2 linked regions of the Tamandua tetradactyla genome follow. The main gene of each other region encodes a partner of the protein of the gene in region 2 in a complex. Links are inferred from orthologs where the notes say so. Each region holds a gene or a part of one and is shown on either strand. Other genes may lie near its edges.

Evidence for each region. Proteins that work in one complex are often made in the same cells at the same time.
Region 1: the proteins of RIMS2 (region 2) and UNC13A are in contact, whole or in part, in a crystal structure (PDB 2CJS), measured with the Rattus norvegicus proteins. The link is inferred for Tamandua tetradactyla from reciprocal best matches to the Homo sapiens genes RIMS2 and UNC13A. Residues at the interface, in XP_063118965.1 of Rattus norvegicus: Asp102, Gly103, Cys104, Ser109, Gln112, Val123, Leu125, Ser127, Asn128, Lys129, Val134, Met135, Trp136; in NP_074052.2 of Rattus norvegicus: Tyr23, Ile36, Trp65, Leu69, Ile70, Trp71, Asp72, Thr73, Met74.

The regions. Positions count from the first base shown.
Region 1 is NC_135337.1:96,494,155-96,501,742, forward strand, and holds the start of UNC13A (protein unc-13 homolog A), read left to right. Parts: upstream 1-4,580; 5' UTR 4,581-4,654; coding exon 4,655-4,676; intron 4,677-7,588. UniProt on the Homo sapiens protein: Plays a role in vesicle maturation during exocytosis as a target of the diacylglycerol second messenger pathway.
Region 2 is NC_135332.1:148,155,782-148,162,938, reverse strand, and holds the start of RIMS2 (regulating synaptic membrane exocytosis protein 2), read right to left. Parts: upstream 3,095-7,157; 5' UTR 2,807-3,094; coding exon 2,631-2,806; intron 1-2,630. UniProt on the Homo sapiens protein: Rab effector involved in exocytosis. May act as scaffold protein. Plays a role in dendrite formation by melanocytes.

The sequences.
Region 1 (7,588 bases), on a different chromosome or scaffold from region 2:
AGGGTCAAGGTCATGACAAGTAAGAGAAGCCTAAGGCAGCGGCGTGCAGAGAAGAGGAGGGCACAGCACCATGAGGGGCCACGCCGGTGCCAGGGTTTTGCTTTTGACAGATACACTCTGCTGATGTGAGATACTAACTAAGGACGAGCGGGTGAAGTGGAGACAGGAACTCCCTGTGCCATTTTACAGCTCTCCTGCATTTTTAACAATTTTCCAAAATAAATAGTTCCCTAAAAAATGAAGAGTTTCTGTTCAGGAAATAATACCATAAATAGAGAAGCCACAAAACTGGAGAGTTTACAACACATGAAACCAGCAAAATATTAGTATCTAAAGTGTGTAAAGAATGCTTCCAAATCACTGAGACAAATGACCAACGTTTAAAAAATGCACACAAATCTTGGACAGTTATTTCACTGACAATCACATAAAAAGCTCAACCTCACTAAGAATCAGAGAGAAAAAGAGACACCCCACCCTATGACACAATTCCAAGTGTGGCGCGCTCTGGAGCAGCCGGGAGCTCAGGTGTGCTGTGTATGCATCTGCAGGGTCGCCAGGGTCAGCGATCTGGGGGTCACCGCAGAGGCCAGTGACGCACGTGCCCTCCGGCCACCTCCCTGTGCTGCAGACACAGCTGAGAATGCTCGCTAACATTTGTAACAAAAGCCAAACTAAAAACAACCCCAGTGTCCACCAATGGGAATTTGCACAGCAGAATATTATACAGCCGTGAAAAAGGAGCAAAGCCCAGGCACCTGCAGCAACTCCATGAACATCAGCAGAACAACCTGAGCAAGCAAACAGAAGAGCGTGCAGTTACAAACAATGAACATTTGATTCCAGTGACGTAAGGCTCGGAAGTTTGCAAAGTTAAACCATGTGTCATGAAATGACAAACTCGGTAAAACGATAAGGACAAGCAGGGCAATGAAAAACACAACTTGGAGCAGTTTTTCCTTCAGGGGGAGGGTGGTGAGATTTCCCAGAAGCACACTGCGACGGAAATCTTCCTTACCCAATCCTGGAACGACTGCTGCCTCTCCCTCCCTACAAATACCTAATTGATATTTAATAAATGCTTTAGAGACCTTCCAAGTAACACTCTATGTTATCAGTTTAGAATTATCATAGCTACTGAATCAGTGGGGTTTAGTTCTCACCACTTGAATTTTAAGGAAGATGAACTTAAGTACATTGCAAACCACTAATTTTTACCACAGCAAATATAATTATAACTCAAAATATATTCTGCCTGTGTTTTAAAGAATGCTTAACAGGTCAATATGATTCTGTGCTATTACTGGTCCTATGTCTTACATACAGCAGATATCTCAGAAAACTTCTCATGACCAAGAACTCAAACCAAATGACATAAACCATTTTCTTCAATTCTTACACTGTCATTTATTTTTTAGAGGAGCAGGTAAGAAATTTATTAGATACACATGTAAGAGGACACATGGGCACTGTCACAAGTAAGGAAAGATGGAGGGCAAGAGGCCCTTACACTGCGACTTTAAACAAACTTTAGATGATGATACAGAAGCCGCAGTATCTGACCACAGACAGGGTGGTGACCCTTTACCTGGAGGAAAAATCCCAGTGACTGACAGCAATATTTTTCCAGGTACAAAGTATATAAACGAAGCCCAGATGAGGCAAACAAAAAGTCAAAAACTGGTAGACATGCAAGGATCTGAATGAACCTGTGGGACATTTGGTGAGGTAAAATAAGCCAGAAACAAAAAAACAATTATTTTACGGTCTCATTTAGAAAATGCTTATAAAAAAACAGGGGCCTAGATTGTAAGCTCTCATAGCAGTCACATTTAGTCCAGAGTGGTAATTATTATTTCTGGATTTTGAGAGGTTGTTGTATATATGTATAAACTGGTATTCAGAGATAAGAATGAAGCCAACCAGGTAAGATAATTCAGAATACAGGGGTAAGGAAAACATTGTCTATATTTTATAGCCACACCTACTCTTTGAGACCAAAGGAAGAAAGGATTATTTTGTCCAGAATCTAAATGTTCTGTAGCACATAATCTAACTCAACCTGTGTAGATAGATCATTTAAACAATTCAGACACATGGGGCCCAGTATAAGAATGAGGGCTTTTAATCCTGTATAGCTCAATGTAATGCCTGGAAACATCTTAGAGGATACTAACCAGATAATCAAAAAGTGTTAGCAAAGTCCCCTGAGGGAGGGGAGAAAGACTATGAAACTATTAAACTTTACTATCAGGGAATCCCCGATACCGTGTCAAGCTTTAGGGACACCCAAATCAATAGGCCATGCCCTAAATCACGAGGCTCACCCTTATGAAGCTTGTGTAGGTAGTGGAGAAGCTTAGACTACCTATAGGATGCGTAAGAGTTACTTCTGGAGGACCTCTGTTGCTGCTCAGATGTGGCCTCAGTCTCTCTAAGCCTAACTCTGCAAGTGAAATCAGTGCCCTCCCCCTACGTGGGACATGACATCCAGGGGTGAAAGTCTCCCTGGCGGCATAGGAGATGACTTCCAGGGATGAATCCAGACCTGGTACTGTGGGATCAACAATTCCATCCTGACCAAAAGGGGGAAAAGAAGTGTATTTAATAAAGTATCAGTGGCAGACAGAGTTCAAATAGAGTCGAGAGGCTACTCTGGAGGTTGCTCTTACACAAGCTTCAGGTAGACCTTGCTACCTATTATAACCTGCCAACCCCCAACCAGGACCATTCCAGCCAATCCTAAAGAACACCTAGGGCATTATATGAGATTCTAGAAAGATTCCATGCTCTAGGGTAACTTTCCAGATGCCTACAACCTCCAGATGGGTCCCTGGACCAGACAAGTCCTGAAACCTAGCCCAGCCTCTCCAGAACATCAGACAGTTCCATCTCCCTACCCCATAGTATGGACCGCCTCTTCCAACATGAAAAAGTCAAAATGGGCAGAGCCCAAACACCCCTAAAGAGAGGGATGGAAAGATCGAAGGTGATAGTGGAGTTATACAGAGAAGGTCAGGTTTAACAAACTAATATGCTACTGAGTCATTGTATTGATGTTTCTTTTAGTCTCCAGTGTCTTAGAGCAGCTAGAAGTAAAACCTAAAATTGTGGAATTGTAACCCATGCCAAACCCTGAAATCTGCTCTACAATTAATTGTCATGAGTGCTTTGAAATTTATTGCTTTTTGTATATATGTTTTTCCACAAAAAGTCATTGGTGGGTGGTGCAGTGGTCGCTCAGTGGCAGAATTCTCATCTGCCATGCTGGAGACCCAGGTTTGAATTCCAGAGCCTGCCCATGCTAAAAAAAACAAAACAAAACAAAAGTCGATTGTGATGATAAACCATATTAATTCCTTCTAGCCTCCTATATTCTGGAGCAGCTAGAAGGAAAAATCTGAGAGGATAGTATGGTAGCCTGTGACAAACTCTGGGGTCTGTCCTACAATTTAAAAAGTTAAAAAAAAAAAAAAAAACTTGATAGAGTTGTAAATGTATTTAAGGTATCTGAAAAAAAATAGGAGTTAAAAAACAACGTCCAAGGTCGCGCTTTTGAACACTAGCTGCATGGGCCACCATCTCTGTGCACACTTCGCCCCTTATGAAGCTGCTTCCTGTTTGCTGGGGAGACGCTATCTCTGCTCCTGCTCTATACTGGGATACTAGCCCCTGGAGCCACCCAACTGGATTGAGGTGGGGAGAGGTGGGCAGAGCTGAGCTGGGGTCAGGGCAGGACCTGAGCAAGGGATCTGGGCTTGGGGAGTCCAAAAAGCAGGGTAGAGACTCCTTTGGGGCAAGTCAGGGAACGCTTCCTAGTGGAGGGGATTCTATTGCACTGGGCATTGCTGGATGAATAGGAGTTTGCCCGTGTTTTAGTTTCCCAGCTGCTAAAATAAATACCATACAAGGGTATGTTGTTGGCACAGGGTTTCAGAGCCTAGATTTGCTTCCTTCAGGGGCCGGTATCTTCTGGCTGCGTCCATCTTTCTGGTCCCTCCGTTTTTCTACCACATGGTGATGCATATGTCGGTTTCTTCTCCTTTCCCTTCTGGGTTCTGTGGACTTCCAGCCTCTAGCTGTTTCCTATGGGTCCTCTCTGCCTGAATTTCACTGGGTTTATAAAGGACCCCAGGAATAATCCAGATTAAAGCCCGCCCTGTGGAACAGCTTCAAGAGATCTTATTTACAACAGGTCCACACCCACCACGATGTGGGCACAGGTCCGCACTGGTTCACGGTTCACTCCACCTCGGGGGTCACACAAGGGGCGAGGGTGGGCGCCCCTGTGAGCCAGCCACAACTGGGAGAGAGCGAGGCAGCGACGCGGGGCCCCGAGTTCGCGGAGACAGAGCCACCGAGGCCAGGGAGAGAGAGAGAAATTGAGGCAGCCGGAGGAGGACAGACTGTCGGGGACAGGACGCCCCCCGCACCGCGCCGGGCCCTTTAACGCCCCCCCCCAGCCCGGCGGCCCTCCCCCCCCCCGTCCCCGCCCCCGCCCGCGTCGGCGCCGCGTCGGGAGCTGTCCGCGCCCCGGTGCTGAATCAAGATGGCCGGCGGCGGCCAGGTCCCGGCGGTGCCCCTGCCCAGCGGCAGCTGAGCCCGCCCCGAACCCCGCGCCCCAGCCGGCCCCGGCCGCCGCGACCCCGGAGCCATGTCTCTGCTGTGCGTTGGAGGTAGGAGGCGCGGCTGGGGCGGCGGCCCGCGTGGACGCGGACTGACTCCGGAGGCGCAGCCCGTAGAGAGGCGTGGGCTCGCGGGGTCCTGGTGGCCGCAGCCGGGGTTCGTGTGGCCACGGCTCAACGCGGAGGGCCGTGTGGACGCGGGCTGGGACCTGGGCTCCATCCGGTCTACACTCGGGGTCTGTGTAGACCGGGCTGTTAGGGAGTCGGCGTGGAGGGGGCAGGGTCGGGAGCTCCGGGGCATCCCGCGGGCGGCCGGGGGGTCCGGGCTGGGCGGGGCGCGGGGCCTCGGGATGCGGACGCGGCACACAGCCCGGTGTGGACGCGGGAGGGGTTCCGAGGCTGGGCACCGAAGATTTGGGCACGAGGGGGCTGGGGCATCTGGCAACCGCGCTCTGGGGTCCCCGAGGCCCAGGGTGTCCAGACCCCTCCCGGCGTCCACACCGGGCTGTGGTTCGGGACTGGGGGTGCTTTTCCGGTTAACCCTTTCGCCTCCCGAGGGGCTGCTGGGGCAACGGCCCGTCGCCCGCCCCTCCCCCTTCGCCGTCCCACGCGCAGGGAGCCGACCCCCCGCGGGCAGCGGCCCGGACGCTCCCCCGATCCTCCCTCACCCCCACCCTGCGCGGAGGGGCACAGATGGGGGCAGCTATTTTGGGGCCAGAACGCCATCTGCACCGAGGCCCACGCCCAGGCCTCGTTCCGCGTTGGGGGGCGGGGGGGGGCGGAGAGAGACGCGGAGGGGGTGACCCGCTCCGCCCTGTACTCGGGGGCCGCGGTGGGCGAGAGGCCCGCCCATCACGTGTTGAGGGCCCTCCTGCTGAGAGCTCAGGCTCTGAGAGACCTCTGGCAGCGGGGGGTGGGGGTGGGGTGCGGAGGAGGGGGGCGGGGGGCTGCGGACAGGCACCGGTCTTCCGAGGTCGGAACCTGGGTCTTGAGCGCGGGGCTCCGTCCCCCTTCCCTGCACCCCCTCACAAAGGCAGGGGCAGGGGTGGGGGGTGGGCCCAGCTTGAAACGTCCGGCTACGGGAGACCTTGGGCCGCGGGTGTGTACCGTGGGTTTGGGTGTTGGTGAGCGGAAGCCGCAGCTGTGCCAGGGCCCGGGAACCGCCCCCGGCGGCCCTCCCTCCCCCCCCCCCCCCCCCCCCGCCTGCTCCATTCACAAACCCGGCCCCCCCCAGCCCGCGGTGCCTTCGCGTGTGCAAATCGGGCCGCGCAGGGCCGGTGTGGACGCGGCTGTTCTTAAAGGGACAGAAGCCTCTGTGCTGCCCCCTGCGACTCCTTTCCCAGGCTTGCTCTGGCCGGGAGAGGCTGGGGGTGGGTAGGGGAAGGCGGCAAGATCCAAAGTCAGCGCACCCAGCTCCCAGCGTCCAGGCTCTGGGCAGCCTGTGGGGTTAGGGGGTGGGGGGTGGGGGGTGGGAGGGCCAGAGGCGACTCCCATTCAACCCCACCGTGTAGGCCTGAGGGGACTCCCCTCCTCTGTGTTGCTGAACCGCCAGGCACTTGGGGGTGTGGCTGGGGGGTGTCCCTGGTGGGTGCTCCTGGTGACCCCCCCCTCTGCTGCCCCCCCACCTCCCACCCTCCCATTTGGTCTTCTGAAGGTTCACCTGCTGGAGGCTGGGCAGGAATCTCATCCTGTGACGCAAAGGGAGGCGCTTGGGCTGTGGGGGGGCAGTGGGGGGCCCTGGGAGGGGGGAGCGGGGAAGGGGGTGGGTGGTGCTAGGATCTGTGGATCTGACCAGGAAGGAGTCAGTGGAGTCGGGGGTAAAGGGCTGAGGGTTAGGGGGAGGCGCTATGAAGACCCCTGGGGGAGACCAGGAAGGCAGGGGTGGTCTTGGTGGGGGAGGGGGCGGGAGTGGAGGAGGCCAGATGGTCTGCATGGGCGCTGAGCTCATACTTGGGGGTGAAGACAGCACCTGCCCCCCAGCCAGGACACCTCTTCCCCCCTGCACCGGGCGCCTGCACCTTCACCCCCACAATCCACAGGACACGCGAAGGTGCCACACACAGACTCACATGCCTGGGCTTGCACACGTGTGCACACATGGTCACACACAGGCCTCTGCATGCATGCAGGGTCCATGTATGCATGATGTGTGGGCCCTAACACACCCACCCCTCCCAAGAAACGTGTGTGCACAGCAGCACGCCTGGAGGCTGGACGCACCCCCCACACACACATGCCTGGGTGTGTCAGGAGCTGCTTCCAGGCCTCAGTCAAGCTACGGGCTCACCCACACCACACACTTGGCAGCACACCTGTGTGCACGTGTAGGCAACGAGCAATACACCTGGCATACAACCACGTAAGGCACTCACACCCCAGCACGTGGGTTTCTAGCGAACGCCTACCTGCCAGCCCCCACATTCCTGAGGCCACAGATGCCAGCACCTCCCAGGCAGCCACGCCCCCCACGCATGGCCTCACCTGCAGGCAGCCTCCCTGGACACACACCTGCCTGCCTGGCACCAGCACGCACAGCTCACCCTGTACACACCCGGCTTGTGTTCCCCCCCTGCCCCCCATTTCTCTGCCGTGTCCCGGCAGTGCCCTGAGGCTGTGAAGGCCCCCCAGACCCTTCCCGCATCCATTCCTGTTTATGCCAATGTTCAGGGCACACCTGCTGGCATCCAGCTGCTGGTATCAGCGGGGTGGGGAAGGCACAGGGCTGAGGGGGCAGGGGAGAGGCGGCCACCCCTGCTGTGTCTCAGATGAGGGAGAAACAGTGAGGCGAGGACGTGAGTGCTGAGGCCTGATGCGCCGCAGGCCCAGGGAGGCCGCATGGGGGTGATGGGTGCGGGCCTCAAAGCTCAGCCTCGGGCATCCGGCCCACGAGCCCGCCTTCTGTGGGCCTACCTAGCCTCTGGGCAGCCCAGTTCACAGACAGGGAATGGGGGCTGAGGGAGGCT
Region 2 (7,157 bases):
CTCTGTGCCCATGACCTCTCATAAAGATGTTAACATGCAATTAACTGCACATTACCAAGGAAGTGAAACCAAGGATAGTATAGTCATGACCAGATAAATAGTCCCTAAAGCTTTATGAGAAATTACAATCATTAAAAGCTATTACTATTATTTTTCTCATATATTGTATGTTATTTAATACCCTATATTAATAATGTATTACATGCTGTTAATAAATTGCCAAATTCTTCAAAGCTATTTGTCTCTCACTATTATAATTCTATTACAAAGTCTGTATTCCACATCTCATTTTCCTTGCCTACTCGTATTTTATTACAAAAGCCAAAAGCATATTATAGAATGTTTAAAGTTAATATTTCAAGTGTATAATGCTTTAACTTCCTTCTTGTTAAATATATATAAAAATAATTTTGAAATTATAGGCCATATTGAGGTAAGTCCCCTTCTAAGATTAAGTTAGTTAGAAACTGAAATATTTATTTTAATTAAATCTGAATAGGCCTCTCATAAATGTATTGTATAAACTGCCTGAATACATGGTTAGGGAAGGTTGTTTCTGCTTAACTATGCAAATATGAATACACAAACATTAAATATATTTGCACACTATGTATGTTTACATATAGATGTAATATACACATATGTAGCTACATGAAAAAATCTTTCATAACAATTTATAATAAAATATACTGTTCATTTTATTTCTTAATTCAATACTCATCTTCATTTGAATTTCTGTATATTAGAAATGTACTATAGATACTCTAAAACCTTAATTCTTAAACCTTGGTAAACATTTAGAACAATAAACAGCTTTAGAGCTCTAGTAAACTAGCCAATAAATACTGAGTTAGCATACCATAAAGAAATAAAAACACATTTTATGTTTAATTATGTGTAAAAAATACAACTATATGAGCATCATTCTAACACTGATTTTTAGCAATTATAATAAAAAAGCATAAATCCAAATATCTAAACATCAAACTGTACGCTTCAAGAGCTTGTTAGAACATATAGTGAAGTTAAGCAGTGTTAGGAGTATGCTCAATAAGCTTTTAAAAACAATGCTTTACTCTCCCATTAGTTGAAATAGACTACTTAACTTCATTTTTTTCATATCTCAAGCCCACTAATAAATCACATCCCCAAAAAGGCATTCAAATCCAGAAATTAGATTTGAAGAATCAGTTCTTCATGATTTTGGTTAATGTCAGGAATGCATTTGCTCTTTTAGTTCCTCAATATCTTGTCAGAAATAGTATTTTTCTCTATGAACTACGTATATTTTATGTTATCATAAATTACCTAAATAATAATTTCATCAAAATGTGACAATATATATGTAGACATAGAGAGAATTGCTTCTGCATAAATGAATTAAAGAATACTGGATGCAACAACCTATTTTTTTTAATGTAAACGATTAGAGGTTAGTGTGTTAGCTCCTTCACAGAGGAGCTCTACACTTTCAATAGTGTGTACCTGTGGAGAATATGGAGGGAAAGCACGCAAACAAAAAAAGAAAGAAAACTGTCCCAACTTCGGCATATAAACTATAAATTATCTTAGAACCCATTTCACGTGAAAAAAAAAAAGGTGAATTGTAAAAACATAAAGAGGTTACACATCTTTTGCACGATCTCTTTCACACAGTGTCTGTGAGATCAAATAATCATAGAACTTTCAAAGCAAACGCTTTAAAAGAAATCTCTGCTACACTGACAAGGTGTCTCAAAGGGTATTTATCATCTTGTCTGGACAGTTCCCAGGTGCTGAAGTTACTCCGTCGCTAAACCAAAGCTTGGGTGCTGCTTTCAATCCTCCCAGCCTCTCTGCAAAATCACGGCGCCTAAACTATGAGCACATATAGCAGAACTTCAAAGCATCCCACAGTGAGGTAACGGTAGGACCTGGAGTCTCTTCAGGATTAAACAGATTTACTACTTGCAAACAGGAAGAGCAGCAGAGTGCAGGGTGTTAGACCCACCAAAGGGGAGGGGCTGGAAGATGGCGCCGGTCGCACACCCACCCGAGACGCAACTGAGCTTAGGCCCCTCGCCCGCCCGCGCCACCACCCTCTGGCCGGTCGCGACCGTGGGCAGATCTGCTCTTCCCTGAATTGGGGATAGAGCGGCCCTCCAAAGGCGCAGGACTAAAGGCCCCGGCAGCACCCGCCATCCCCTGGCCGGTGCGCCTTCGCCTGGGTCCCTGCCAGAAAGCACCTGTGCACGGCCATATTGGATTCCTTGCCCCAGTCACTGCCTCCGCGCGGAGGCGGTGGGGAAGAGTGAAGGGACGCGCGGAGCCTGGATTCAGACCCGGCCCCACTGGGGCCCCAGAGCCGAACTGACCCGGGAGGAAAGCTAGAAGAGCACTGGGAAAATTACAGCGCCCCAAGGCTCGCCATCCTCACCTAAGCCGGCCTTGGCGCCCTCCCTCCCCACACACCCACGCGCTCGGAGACCCAGAAAGCAGCCTGGGTGGCCGGAGGCGGCCGCAACCATCGTAGTCCCCGCGCTACCGGCAGGCGGGGAGGGCGGCGATCCACCGCGCGCTGGCGGCCGCAGGAGAGCGGCCGAAGGGGCGGAGGGCAGGTGGGAGGCGGGAAGATGGAGCCAGGTCCTTACTTGAGCACGGACTGCTCTTTCTCCTCTTCTTTCTTCTGCCGGTCCATGACTGCCAGGATGATTTTCCTCTCCTCCTCCGTGAGGTGGCTGAGGTCGGGCATCTCGGGCTGCAGAGGCTGCTGAAAGGCTGCAGGGGTGGGAGCCTGGCGGCCCCGGGGCCCGAGAGGAGCCGACATGTTTGGTGGAGCCAAACCACCCTAGGGAAACAGGGAGGCAACTCCACTAGCGGCGGCACCGGCGCGGGTGGCTGGAGCAGCCTCCAGCGCTGGGACACATACAAATTAATGGCCTTTCAATCCGAGGCGACAGCCCTCCTTCCTCAAGAAAGAAAGAGCGAAGGGAGGAGAAAATGGGGGGAGGAGAGAGCTAAGGAGTGCGCTTCGGGAAATGTTGCTTCTTCTCGGGAGCCGAGGGCTGGCAAGTGAGCGGTTCCGGGAAGAGAGGAGCGGGAGGCCGGGCCGAGACTGGAGTGCGCGGAACGGCGGGGGAGGGTGGTGGAGTAAGGTGGCGGGGACAGCTGAGGGTGGGGTGACTGGAGGGAGCGGGCAGGAGGGCGGCGCGCGGGCCGGGCGCTAGTGTGTCTGACCGCGGGGGTGGGGGGCCGTGCGCTTCGCCTCTGAAGGGAAAGGGGCGGCTGCGATCCAGGCTCCCGGAGGGAGTTCCGGGAATTCGCAGAGTGCTCGAGGAGCACGAAGGAAGGAGCAAGGAGGAGTGAGGAAGCAGGGATGAATTTCCCAGAGAAGCAGCTCTGCTGTCCCGCCAGCTGGCGCGTCACAGGACTGACTCCTCAGCCCCAGGGGGGAGGACCCCTCAGGTAGCTACCGGGAGACGGAAGCGGGGCGGGAGACTAGCGTTTGGAGCCGAGAGGTGAAAGCAGAGAAGGAGATCAGACTGGGGTTAGCGGCGGAGGGTTCCTGGGGCCAGGGCCCCTTGGCTGCCAGCGCTCGGGTCCTAAAACGCTTCGAAGCGTGGCAGCAGGATCGGACGCTGGTCCCTCCTTGTCACGCGCCCGCCCGGGGCCCTCAGAAGCTGCCGCCGCCGCCACCGCCGCGGCTCGGTGCCTTCGCCTGCGCCACCTCAGTCCCTCCGCCTCCCCAGCTCCTCCCGTTCTGGCCGCGTCACCTCCCAGCAGCCCAGGCCCGGGCACGATGAGCGCCCCAAGGGTGGCGGCCACCCCTCGGGTGCGCGACAGCTGGGCTGGGGCCGGGCGGGAAGAAGTTGGTCAGGAGAGCGTAAATGAGGGGCGTGGGGTGGGAGGAGGGAGGTGGGGAAGAGAGGAAGTGCCCGAGCTTTTTAGGGCGGGGCATGAATACTGTGAGTGAAAGAGCGAAGCCCGAGGTGTTGGTAGTCAGGGGAAGAGAGTGAGGCGGCGGCGGGGAGGAGGGAGGGAATGCGGATGAGGGGTGTGGCTGCGGCGTCAAGCCCAGATGGCAAAGAGTATGAACGTTGGGGAGGGAGATAAATGGGGAGGGCCGGGTGTCAGGTCTGGAGATCAGTGGGGAATTGGGGGTAGGAGGGAGAGGGGAACTACTGGGGATGTTAGGTCCGGAGTGTGAGCCTGAGGGAGCTGCTCCCAAGGTTTCGGAAAGAGAAATAGAGTGTAAGCTGGGGGAGGGGGGGGGGGGGAATGGGGAGGGCAGGGGTCGCCCGGATGTCTGGCTCCTAGTTAAAAGAGTGTGGGGGGCGGCGCGGGTTGTCGAGGAGGGCTTGGGGTAGGGGGTGGGGGGTGAGAGGTGGGAGGTGGGGGGCGTGAGGGCCCATCTGAGGGGAGATGGAGACAGATGTGCGTGAATGAGTACTGAGCACAGGTGGCGTCGCGGGCCTGGGGCGGGGAAGTAAGGAAGTTCTGAAAAACTGAAGGCAAGTGGTACTGGAGAGAGCCTGGAGAAGTGGAGAGGTGACACTGGGAGAGTCAGAGTGTGTCTGAGAGGTGTGTGAGAAAGGGAGGTGACTGAGGGCTGTGAGGGTGAAAGAACGAAGGATCATAGGGAGGCTAAGGAGCCGGTTTTTGGGCGGAGGACTTCTGTCTGTTTGGCTTCTTTTGACCCTCAGTCTAGCCTAAAGAGAAAAAGGCAGAAGAGAGGAGGGTTAGAGTCGGAGTCTGATTTTCGAAGCATGTATGTTCAGTGAAAGAGGACCCGGTAGAAGGAAAACCAGCCCCAGGAGAACCGCAGTGACCACCGCCGCCGCCTTCTGCTCTCGACTGGGCTCTGCCGCCCTGACACGGCTCCTGGTGGGGGCAGGGCAGGGAGAGGCCGGAGAAAGGATGAGGGGAGACGATGCAAGACGCGCCACGAAGCAAATTGCCGGCGATCACTCCCTCCTCTTGGCACTGGCAGCACGCTCTGGGGAGGAGAAGCTGGGCTCCTCCCACACACACTAAGTACCAGGCCAGTTGCGGTCTGATGAGTAGTGTAAAGCCTTTGGGGTTTGTATTATATTTACCTCGGTGTGTAGTAAGTGCTCTCCCTGGGTACCACGGGTCCCAATTTAAGAGTGCTTGGGACAGGCCAAGCAGCCCTAGAAGTTGCTTATGATTTCTAAGCTTACATTTATATTTTCCTTTCCTACCATGCCTTGTAATTAGGAAGAAGGAGAAGAGAAAACTGAAGTGCAATTTTTATTATTATTGTTATTCACCTGCATGAAACCAAGACTGCAAGATGCAAATAAGTCCGTTTTCATCTCTTTGGAGCTTTGCAAACTAGATGAGAGCAGATGAATGCCAATGTAATTTTGTTATTGAGTTAGAAAATCTTTGTAAATCACTAATCCAACCTCAATCATCCTATGAGAAATTAAGAACCAAGGTAAGACAGCTAGTAAATGGTAGACCTGGAACTAGAATCTAAATATTTTTACTCCAAGTTGAAACCATGGTGGTTTTCAACCCTGACTGCACATTAGAATTACCTGGATTACTTTTTTAAAATACCATCCAGGCCTAACTCTAGATCAGATGAACCAATCTCTGGGATTGGGACCCTGGCTGTAGCTTTACTTCAACATTCCCCAAATGACTAGCAAGGGTTGAGGGCTACATGTGCACTACATAGATAATGGAGGGGTAAATCACAACTGAGAAGTAGAAAACAAGCAAAAAGTACACTTCCAGAGATAACAGATATTTTTTTTTACTTTAAATTACAGTATTGGAATTTCACAGTACTATTCACTTTCCTCTCATATGCAGTAAGAGGTACCAGTGAATACACATACCTATGATTTTAGCTTGGGAAACCCGAAGTGCCACTAAAATACACTATTTGTGCCTTTCAAAGAGAGAAGAGCAGAACTAGAAATAAGCAAAAAGAATGGATGGAACACATTACCTTATTCAACTATTTCTGAGCCATATTTGAAGAAATAACCCTGTCTTCCACCTCCAGCCAACTAACAACTCAAGCAGAACCACAAGCTAAAATGCACACACTACTCAAAGGCTTGATGTGCTAAAATAGCTTAATTATTCTGAGTAAATAAAATGAGAATTTAAAAGTGGTTGTCCAAATTGGACAATTAGGGCTTCTTTTACAGAAGAGAGTCACCCCCTAGACGCTACACTATTTTATACCAATCACATAGTTGGTGGTGTCTCCCTGCACCCCCATTGCCTCTCAGGTTCCTAGAGACAGTACCAGCATATGAAATACATTGTGCATGAGCAGGTATCATTAAGACACCTAACTTCTTACAATACTGCAGGAGAAATGAGTGAGCTTGGCGTACCGTTTGTTTTTACAGTCTTTACTACAGCTAGATGTATTTTCCCTATTAAAGGGAATCCCTAGAAGTGGAAGTATCTTAAAATCATCTTCCACACTGATTTACACACCTTTCCAAAATAAAACTTAGTCACAGTATTTGTATATTACATAGAATATATATTACAGAATTTTTAAATGGGCTACTTTTTAATGCAATCACCCCAGTTCAACATAAGATTGCCATGTAAGACCTATAGAAAGTAAAATTCCTTCAAAGATATCTTTCAATCTTTCCACATAATGGATCTTGGAGATGTTTTTTGTTTTCCCCAAATTTAGTGTTATGTTTAACACATCTCACTGTATCCTGTGTTGCATTATATTTCACTTGGGCATGTCCCCAAATGTATAAACACATTTGAAGTTGAGTTGAAACTATAGTATTCTCATTTAACTTTAGAAGTAACTGGACACCTTTATCATTGAATTCCCAAGGTCTTCCTGACAAGCCATAAACTAATCCCAAAATGAAGGTCCTTTCTGCAGTTCCTGTCAGCTAGTAAAGCCTGTGAATCTGTGACTTTCATTTTTCAGATGAATAACAGCTACTTACTTGTAATCTACTAAAGTTATTAGGAGGTTATATTAGTTAGGGTTCTGTAGAGAAACAGAATCAACAGGGAACACTCACAAATATAAATTTATAAAAGTGTCTCACGTGACCACAGGAATGCAGAGTCCAAAATCTGCAGGGCAGGCTGTGAAGTCAACAATTCCGATGGAGAGTCTGGACAAACTCCACAGGAGAGGCTCGCCAGCC